Oryzias latipes: one gene and its partner. The protein of the gene in region 1 interacts with the protein of each later gene in a pairwise test. Links are inferred from orthologs where the notes say so. Each region holds a gene or a part of one and is shown in the gene's direction. Other genes may lie near its edges.

What was found.
Region 2: the proteins of sergef (region 1) and DPH3 homolog interact in binary tests that used the Homo sapiens proteins (3 or more experiments, as listed by UniProt). The link is inferred for Oryzias latipes from reciprocal best matches to the Homo sapiens genes SERGEF and DPH3.

The regions. Positions count from the first base shown.
Region 1 is NC_019864.2:15,636,435-15,640,987, reverse strand, and holds the start of sergef (secretion-regulating guanine nucleotide exchange factor), read left to right. Parts: upstream 1-1,747; 5' UTR 1,748-1,812; coding exon 1,813-1,851; intron 1,852-2,070; coding exon 2,071-2,209; intron 2,210-4,118; coding exon 4,119-4,271; intron 4,272-4,553. Other genes in the region: tph1 (tryptophan 5-hydroxylase 1), read left to right, coding at 1-121, 224-398. UniProt on the Homo sapiens protein: Probable guanine nucleotide exchange factor (GEF), which may be involved in the secretion process.
Region 2 is NC_019860.2:24,999,097-25,002,427, reverse strand, and holds DPH3 homolog, read left to right. Parts: upstream 1-1,775; 5' UTR 1,776-1,807; coding exon 1,808-1,915; intron 1,916-2,164; coding exon 2,165-2,239; intron 2,240-2,408; coding exon 2,409-2,477; 3' UTR 2,478-2,826; downstream 2,827-3,331.

The DNA.
Region 1 (4,553 bases):
GTAATGCAAGGATAATGCCTTTTGATCCAAAAGTTACATCCAAACAAGAATGCATCATCACAACGTTTCAGGACGTCTACTTTGTGTCCGACAGCTTTGAAGAGGCCAAAGTCAAGATGAGGTGTGTTTGTTAGCTTCATCGTCTCACACTCAGAAAACAAAAACACATTCATCTTATCTTTATTAACAACTAAATTGCACTTTTGCTGGGTTTTTTTTCCAGAGAGTTCGCCAAGACCATCAAGCGCCCCTTCACAGTTCGATACAACCCCTACACCCAGAGTGTGGATGTGCTCAAAGACACTCTGAGCATCAACAGCGTGGTGGAGGAGCTCCGACACGAGCTTGACATCGTGGGTGATGCTTTGAGTCGACTCAACAAGCAGCTGGGCGTCTGACTGCCCACACTTCAGCTGAAGCTAGCCTCCCACAGCCCATCCGTGCACGCTGCGTCCCCCCCAACACTGTTGTAGAGATGTTGCTTGTGTATCGTTCCCCGTCAGCTCAATCGCTTTTTTAAGCTGAATATTCTTTTGTCGATGTAAGTTGTGTGAATGACTATATATACATATATATACATGCATTCGATGTGTGTTGACTTCTGTGTCAGTGAGCCTTTCAAACCCAAAGAGCTGCTTGATCTGAGACACGATTTAGCTTCCATTGTACTTGGATTGTTCTTGATCATGCAACTGATGTGCTTTCATGGTTCTTCACTGCACTTTTACAAATCCCCAGCTGTTACAAACACTTCCCAAAGCTGTCACTGCTGCTCTTGTGTATGACATTGTGATACTTTTTGTTACTGGTTAAAGATTTCTTCACTTGTATTCTTCTTCACTTAAGTGATACATATATCATGTACCTTGTTATTGTTTTATCTGGGTGAACATACTTTTATGCTCTTCTTTGTACTGTCTAAGGAACTTATGAAAGTAAAACCTTTAACTTCTATAAAGAGAAAACCTTTCATGACTGATTGTGACAGATCTGGCCCATTAAGTAATTGATTTAGTTTCTAATGGATCCTAAAGAAATTATTAATATTATTGCACTCTGCATTTGAAATTGTTATTTTTCTACTGTAAAGAAATGTAGAAAATACTTCTATATTATGTATGAAAAAAAGACTATTATTAATAAAGTCTGTTCACAGTCTGTTTCTCACACTTTTTTAATTCTCAATCATTTGGGAAAAAAAAGTTTTTTTATACAAAAATGTACTTTACATTGATTTACATAAATTAAAAAAAAAAGGTCTGGTCATAGAAATTTTTAATTCAAATAAATTTGATTTGCTATAGAGATCAACGTGCCGCCTCTTTTAGCCAGTTTTAACCAAGTATAATAGGCCTATACACTTGCAAGAAAAGGTAGGTGAAAACTTTGGAAGTCCTTCGACTTCTGCATGAAATGAACAACAGTAGTCACATTAGAAAAACATAGTCTGCTTCAACTAAAAACACACAAACGATAGCTTTTCATACACTTGTTTTTTTGTTGCTTGTTTTTTCAGTGGAACCCTCCTCACTAATAAAAGAAAACATACTTTTCTTTTCCGATAGGCTGAGACATGAATAGTAATTTTATTATTTTAAAATAATCTATTACATATTCACTCGTGTACATTTTCTCAATATAATTCCATAAAGAACTTTTATTTGCTGATATGTGCGGGTTTTTTGTTTGTTTTGTTAGATTAGTTCCACTGCTTGTCACTGTAATAAACATATCTCTCCACTTGGTGGCGGTAATGCACCAAGTCCTTTCTTGAAAATCTCAATTGAACCAAAGAAAAAGAAGAAAAGTCCCATGGAACGTAGCTCGCTGGAATTTTGTTTACACACCTGGGTAAGTTTTTTACCTGATAAATCGTTGTTGTCAACATGTCCAAATTTCATCTCTGTGTCTGATTAACTTTAATATTTAAGTGGAACATGAATCAAACACTTTTGGCGACGTAAAGCGAATTACCCTGTTGTTTATACAAAGCAGCACGCTACAAAAAAAAACGAATTAACTAAGACGAGTGTTTCTGAATCTGACCTCTGTAGATTTGTGTTGTTTCAGGGAGCCAACAGTTACGGGCAGCTGGGACAGGGACATGCGGAGGACCAGCTTGTTCCTCGGCTCTCTGGAGTCTCAGAGCTGCAAACCAAAGTGATCCGGGTCGTGAGGGGCGGCGGGGGACACACCGCTGTCATCACTGGTACTGGAATAACCGAGTTTCGACACACATCCATCGTTATTCAAACGTAACTATTTAAGATCTGAGAGGATATACTTTAAACATTCCACAAGGGAAAATCTAAAGAGCATTTAATGGAAAATATGGCGAAAGAGAAAGAGACTTTATGACTACATGATATAGAAAACACACGCAAAACAATAAACACAACCAAAATACAAAACTACACACACAGAAACACTACATTAGTCTGTGAAATGTATACCATAGTTCAGGAAAGATTTCGTGTTGGGTCTTTAATCAAAGAATACACAAAAGGACTCAGGTTTACTTTTAAATCTCTAGCTTTTTTTGTCCAAATTTCATATTCACTAGGGCTGCACGATTATGAAGAAAACTCGAGATATGCGATATTATTAATTAATATTGCGATAACGATATAATTTGCGGTATATAAACAATTAGCAAAACAACCAAAAATATTATTCCCATTCCATTACAACAGCTTAAAAATTATACTACAAATGACCCTTGTTGACGCAGGAGGCGAACATACAACATAATAGGGCGCCATCCGATTAGTTAACAACGTGAAGGGCTCCATCTGATAGGCCAAATGCAGAAAGGGATTCTTTCGATCCATTAAACACTGCAAGCTGCCATAAGATTGTTTGGCCACATCTAAGGTAACCATTTATTGCAAATTTGCTGTCTTTTGCGATATGCATATTGCACAGCTTGAAATTGCGAGAACGATAAATTAGCGGTATATTGTGTAGGCCTAATATTCACAAATGTAAATTCTCTGGTAGAAAACCTTGTTTCATTCTAATCTTTTCTGAGTTAAATCTGTATACAAATAGCATTCGTAATGAGAAGCAAAAAGAAATCAAATCCTTGTCTGTATGTGAAGGATGCAATTTTTTTCTTGCAAAGTTTAACCCCCTGGCTTATTTCTATTTCTATTCTTGTTATATATATATATATATATATATATATATATATATATATATATATATATATATATATATATATATATATATATATATATATATATATATATATATAGTTATGTTTTTGACATTTGCAATTGTGTTCTTGCTGTGTACCTGAATGTGAATTTTTGTAAAATGGCATAATGTTCAATAAAGTTTTAAAAAAAGCTATGCGATAGTTATATTAATCTAGACATTTATAGCTATAAAAATAATTGGAAAAATACATTATATAAAAACAGCTATAGGAAAATGTCAAGCTTTTTATAACAATGATTGAAGTCAGTAGAATGCATTATAAATGACACCAACCCCAGTAATTAATACATTAGGTTTTTTGTTTGTTTTAGTGCCTTTTTTTTGTATCTCCATTGATCAAAATCTATATTTTCTGTGTTTATTTATATAGTGTGTTTGATTTTTTTTCACTAGTAACAATTTTCCTGAAGCTGAAAAGTCAGACGCATTTATTCCCCTCATATGTTTAACGTGGGACAAAACGTACCTGTGGGCTGTAAACAGATGCCAGAGTAAGCTGTGATGCTCCGGTTTACGGTGAAGGCTGAAAAAATGACCAACCTGAACAAAACCACCTAAAATTGATCAAACCGTATTTACCTATTTACAGGCTGTACCTGTAAGTGAGACGAATGTACAGCTTCACCATAAAAACACGACACACCAGGAAATCTACAGAGGAACTTTCCTGTACAGACATTGAGTTCTTGATTTTGAAAAACTGTATTTTAGACCAAACAGATCAATAACTCAAGTTTTTGAAGAAAAAAAAGTATAAATGTTAATGTTTGTAAAGTTTTTTTGTGATCCAACTCTTAATAAATATTGTTGAACCTTTTTATTTCTAACTGTGGTTGCTTCTGATGATTCAGCTTGTTTTATTGAAGCTATTTGTTCTGTTGTTTTGTGTTGAACAGAGGGTGGAGAGGTGTTTGTTTGTGGGCAGAATCACAAAGGTCAGCTGGGAATTGGTCACTGTGCTGACATAGCAACTTTTCAAATCTGCCCCATCTTTAATCAGAGAGTCACAGATGTTGCCTGTGGTTGGGATTTCTCTCTTCTGCTAACCGGTAAGAAATATTCACAACTGAACACAAAGTGCTTTTTCAAAGCAAGTTCTCACTTGAAAGTTTATCTCTCCTAAAGTGACTGAAGCGAGGCAGAATTAAAGTTGGGACTCCCTCATTAAAGTCCCACTCTTGTCATTTTTAGATTTCATTTCAAAACTGGACTTTTCCAGGACATAGTTTCTGCAGAGCGGCAGGAATTCATGAGAAATTCGCTGATGAGCTGTGGGCGAGACCGTTGGCATGGAGTAGGTCTCCCCTCATTTCCCATCATGCCTTTGTTTG
Region 2 (3,331 bases), on another chromosome or scaffold:
TTAAAATACTCGACAGATGTTTACCTCATCCAATTACAATCAGTATATTTGGTTAATATTTGCCCTTTAGCTTTGTTAGATCACATTCATAACTCATTATTTAAAACGTGATAAAGAAAATCAATTAAAAGCAAGATATGAGTGGAAACAAATTTTCAAGTGAAGCAATGGTTTTCAAAACTACTGCCTTTATTTATTTGAACACAGAAACTGAACCCATTCAGGTGCACAACACAAGCTGAACACATAGAGTAAACCTATTAGTCTAGACAACACATCAGCCCCATTGAACACATGGCCTCCTAGCCACTAGCCTGTACAACACATGGTCCTGCTGCTGACAGCCTGGTCCTGTGGCTGGGTGCTGATGCTCAATCTAAATGGCAAATGGTAAATGGCGTATACTTATATAGCACCTTTCTTCCAACAAGGACAAAGCACTTTACAGTCACACACACATTCACTCACACATTCAGACACTGATGGCGGCTCCGCTGCCAAACACAGGGGCCCGCCTACCACCAGAGGCAAGGTGGGGATCAGTGTCTTGCCCAAGGACTCATGGGCGTGCAAGGCGGGAATTGAACCTGCAATCTTACAATCATGGGTTGACCGCCCTACCGCTGCACCACGGCCGCCCCAATCTAATCATCTTCTTCAGAGTCACTGTCAGACTCTGAATTTTCAGAAATGTGATCCTCTAATTCTGAAACCTCCTCTTCTGAATCGTCTCCCTCTACATCATCATCAAAAACGTCTCTCTTCTAAAATCAATTCCATCTGCGCAGAAAGCCTTTTGGCCATTTTGATCAGTTGTGATAAGAAACCACACTGGCAAAGCTATGTTTAACGTGTCCCGCCTCCAATTTGTAGCAGATAAAGAGCGAGATATTAAAGATTCCCGCAAGAAAGTCGAATGGTCAAATGTGCGGGAGAACGAGAGCAAACAGAGTTGATTCTTGAATTATTCTAACAATGTTGTAACCTTGTGCAGGAACCGCAGGTGCAGAAACAGAACTCACATTTACAGTGAATCTTTCTCTCTCTGCCTCTCTCTCTCTCTCTTTCTCACTGGTCACACACACACACACACACACACCCACACACCCACACACACACAGCAGGCCCAGACAGGTGGAGGACAGAGTGTAGGTACATAAAACATAAATTTCCACACTTCTATTAGCCCCGGGTCCAGTGGACCCGAACATCTTATATGTAATAGAAATGTGTTGGGGGGGTATACGGTGTGTGGTCATTAAAAATATCTGTTCTTCACAGAAAATGAGCCAAGGCCAGTGAGTTTGAGTCTGAAAAATTAATTAATTGTATCATTTTTCTTTTGATAAAAAATGAAAACGGGTCCCACAGACCCGAACACCACATAAGGGTTAAATAAATACATTTCTATGTCCAACGGTAAGGGTCAAACATTCTAGCTCCTTTTGGTTTTAGTGATTCATCCTTAAATTATCTGGAGCCTTTTATTCCAGCACAGATATGAGAAATTCTGGAGATTTATTTTAATTTTAGAAGAACTTCTAACAGAACTTAAACAAAAAAAGACTAAATAAGGCAGAACTTTCCTAATAAACAGATGAAAAGCTGCAGAAAAACAAATGAAGTTTAAACATAAAGAGTTTACAATTAAACTTACGGACTCCGTTCATTATTTTCAGCTCCTTTACACCTGAAATCTGAACATTTAGGACTGAACGTTAATCACAACAAACACGTCACGGGCCGTATTCACGGGGCGCTCGTCGGTGACGTCATCAGGAAGCGCCGGCCCGGAGCCGTCAGAAAAATGTCCGCGTTCCACGATGAAGTGGAGCTCGAGGACTTCGAGTACGACGAGGACACGTGCGCGTACTACTTCCCGTGTCCGTGCGGGGACCGCTTCGTCATCACGGAGGTGAGCTGGGCGCGAGGAAGATGAGGGCATAGAAGGGCTGGGTCCTGACGGAGGGCTGCTGACGTCATGAACATGTGCACGCGCTCCTGCTGTTCCATGTGGTCAGACGGAGGGGATTCGAACACTTAAAGAAGTCCCTTTGAAACGATGTTACCGTCACTTTAGGGGAACATTCCACCTTAAATCCCTTAGAGCTGCTTTTCCTGCTGTGACGTCACTGAAGACCTGAACCTGATTTTGGCATTTTAGGAGGATCTGGAGAACGGAGAGGAGGTGGCCACGTGTCCCAGCTGCTCACTCATCATCAAAGTCATCTATGACAAGGTAACCCCGCCCCCAGGGGAGGGAGGGGGGGGGGGTCCAGAGTGGGAAGGGGGTCCACAGAGGGGAAGAGGTCCACAGTGGGGGGAGGGGTGGGGATCCACAGAGGGGGGGGGGGGGGGGGTCCACAGAGGAACGTTCAGGATCCAGACTAAAGTTGTTTGTGTTACAGGAGGCCTTCATGTCTGGAGAAACCATCCAGGCGCCGCTGGAGCCCAAACTGGAGCGGGCCCAGTCCTAAGGGGCGGAGCTTTTAACCAAGGCTGACTTAGACACACCTGGAGGGAACGCTTCCACTGAACCAGCAGCCAGGGTTCTGCAGACCGGTTCTCATGAGGAGCATGCGGTCTGACGCTGAAGATGACCCCACAACGCCGCCATGACAGACGCCGCGCACCTGAACACGAAGGGGGATGAGCGTGCTCAGAAGGTGTAAAGTCATGTGACCTCACACCTCTGAAGATCAGAAGACTGAACTGCAGAGGAGCCAGATCTCCAGGATCTGCTTCGCCCTCTGGTGGTGAACTGATGAAACTGCATGAAGAAAAACGTGACTGAAAAATTAAATAAGTTAAGAAATTTTTTATTGATCCCACATTGGGGAAATTCAATTAAATAAAGAGTTTGTAATCCTGCCAGTCCACGGCTGGTCAATCCTGGTGCTGAAGGCCCACGCCCGGGTCCTGAAGGCCCACGCCCCGGTCCTGAAGGCCCACGCCCCGGTCCTGAAGGCCCACGCCCGGGTCCTGAAGGACCACGCCCGGGTCCTGAAGGACCACTGAAGGCCCACGCCCGGGTCCTGAAGGCCCACGCCCGGGTCCTGAAGGCCCACGCCCGGGTCCTGAAGGCCCACGCCCGGGTCCTGAAGGCCCACGTCCGGGTCCTGAAGGCCCACGCCCGGGTCCTGAAGGCCCACGCCCCCGTCCTGAAGGCCCACGCCCGGGTCCTGAAGGCCCACGCCCCGGTCCTGAAGGCCCACGCCCGGGTCCTGAAGGCCCACGCCCCGGTCCTGAAGGCCCACGCCCGGGTCCTGAAGGCCCGGGTCCTGAAGGCCCACGCCCCCGTCCTGAAGGCCCACGCCCGGGTCCTGAAGGC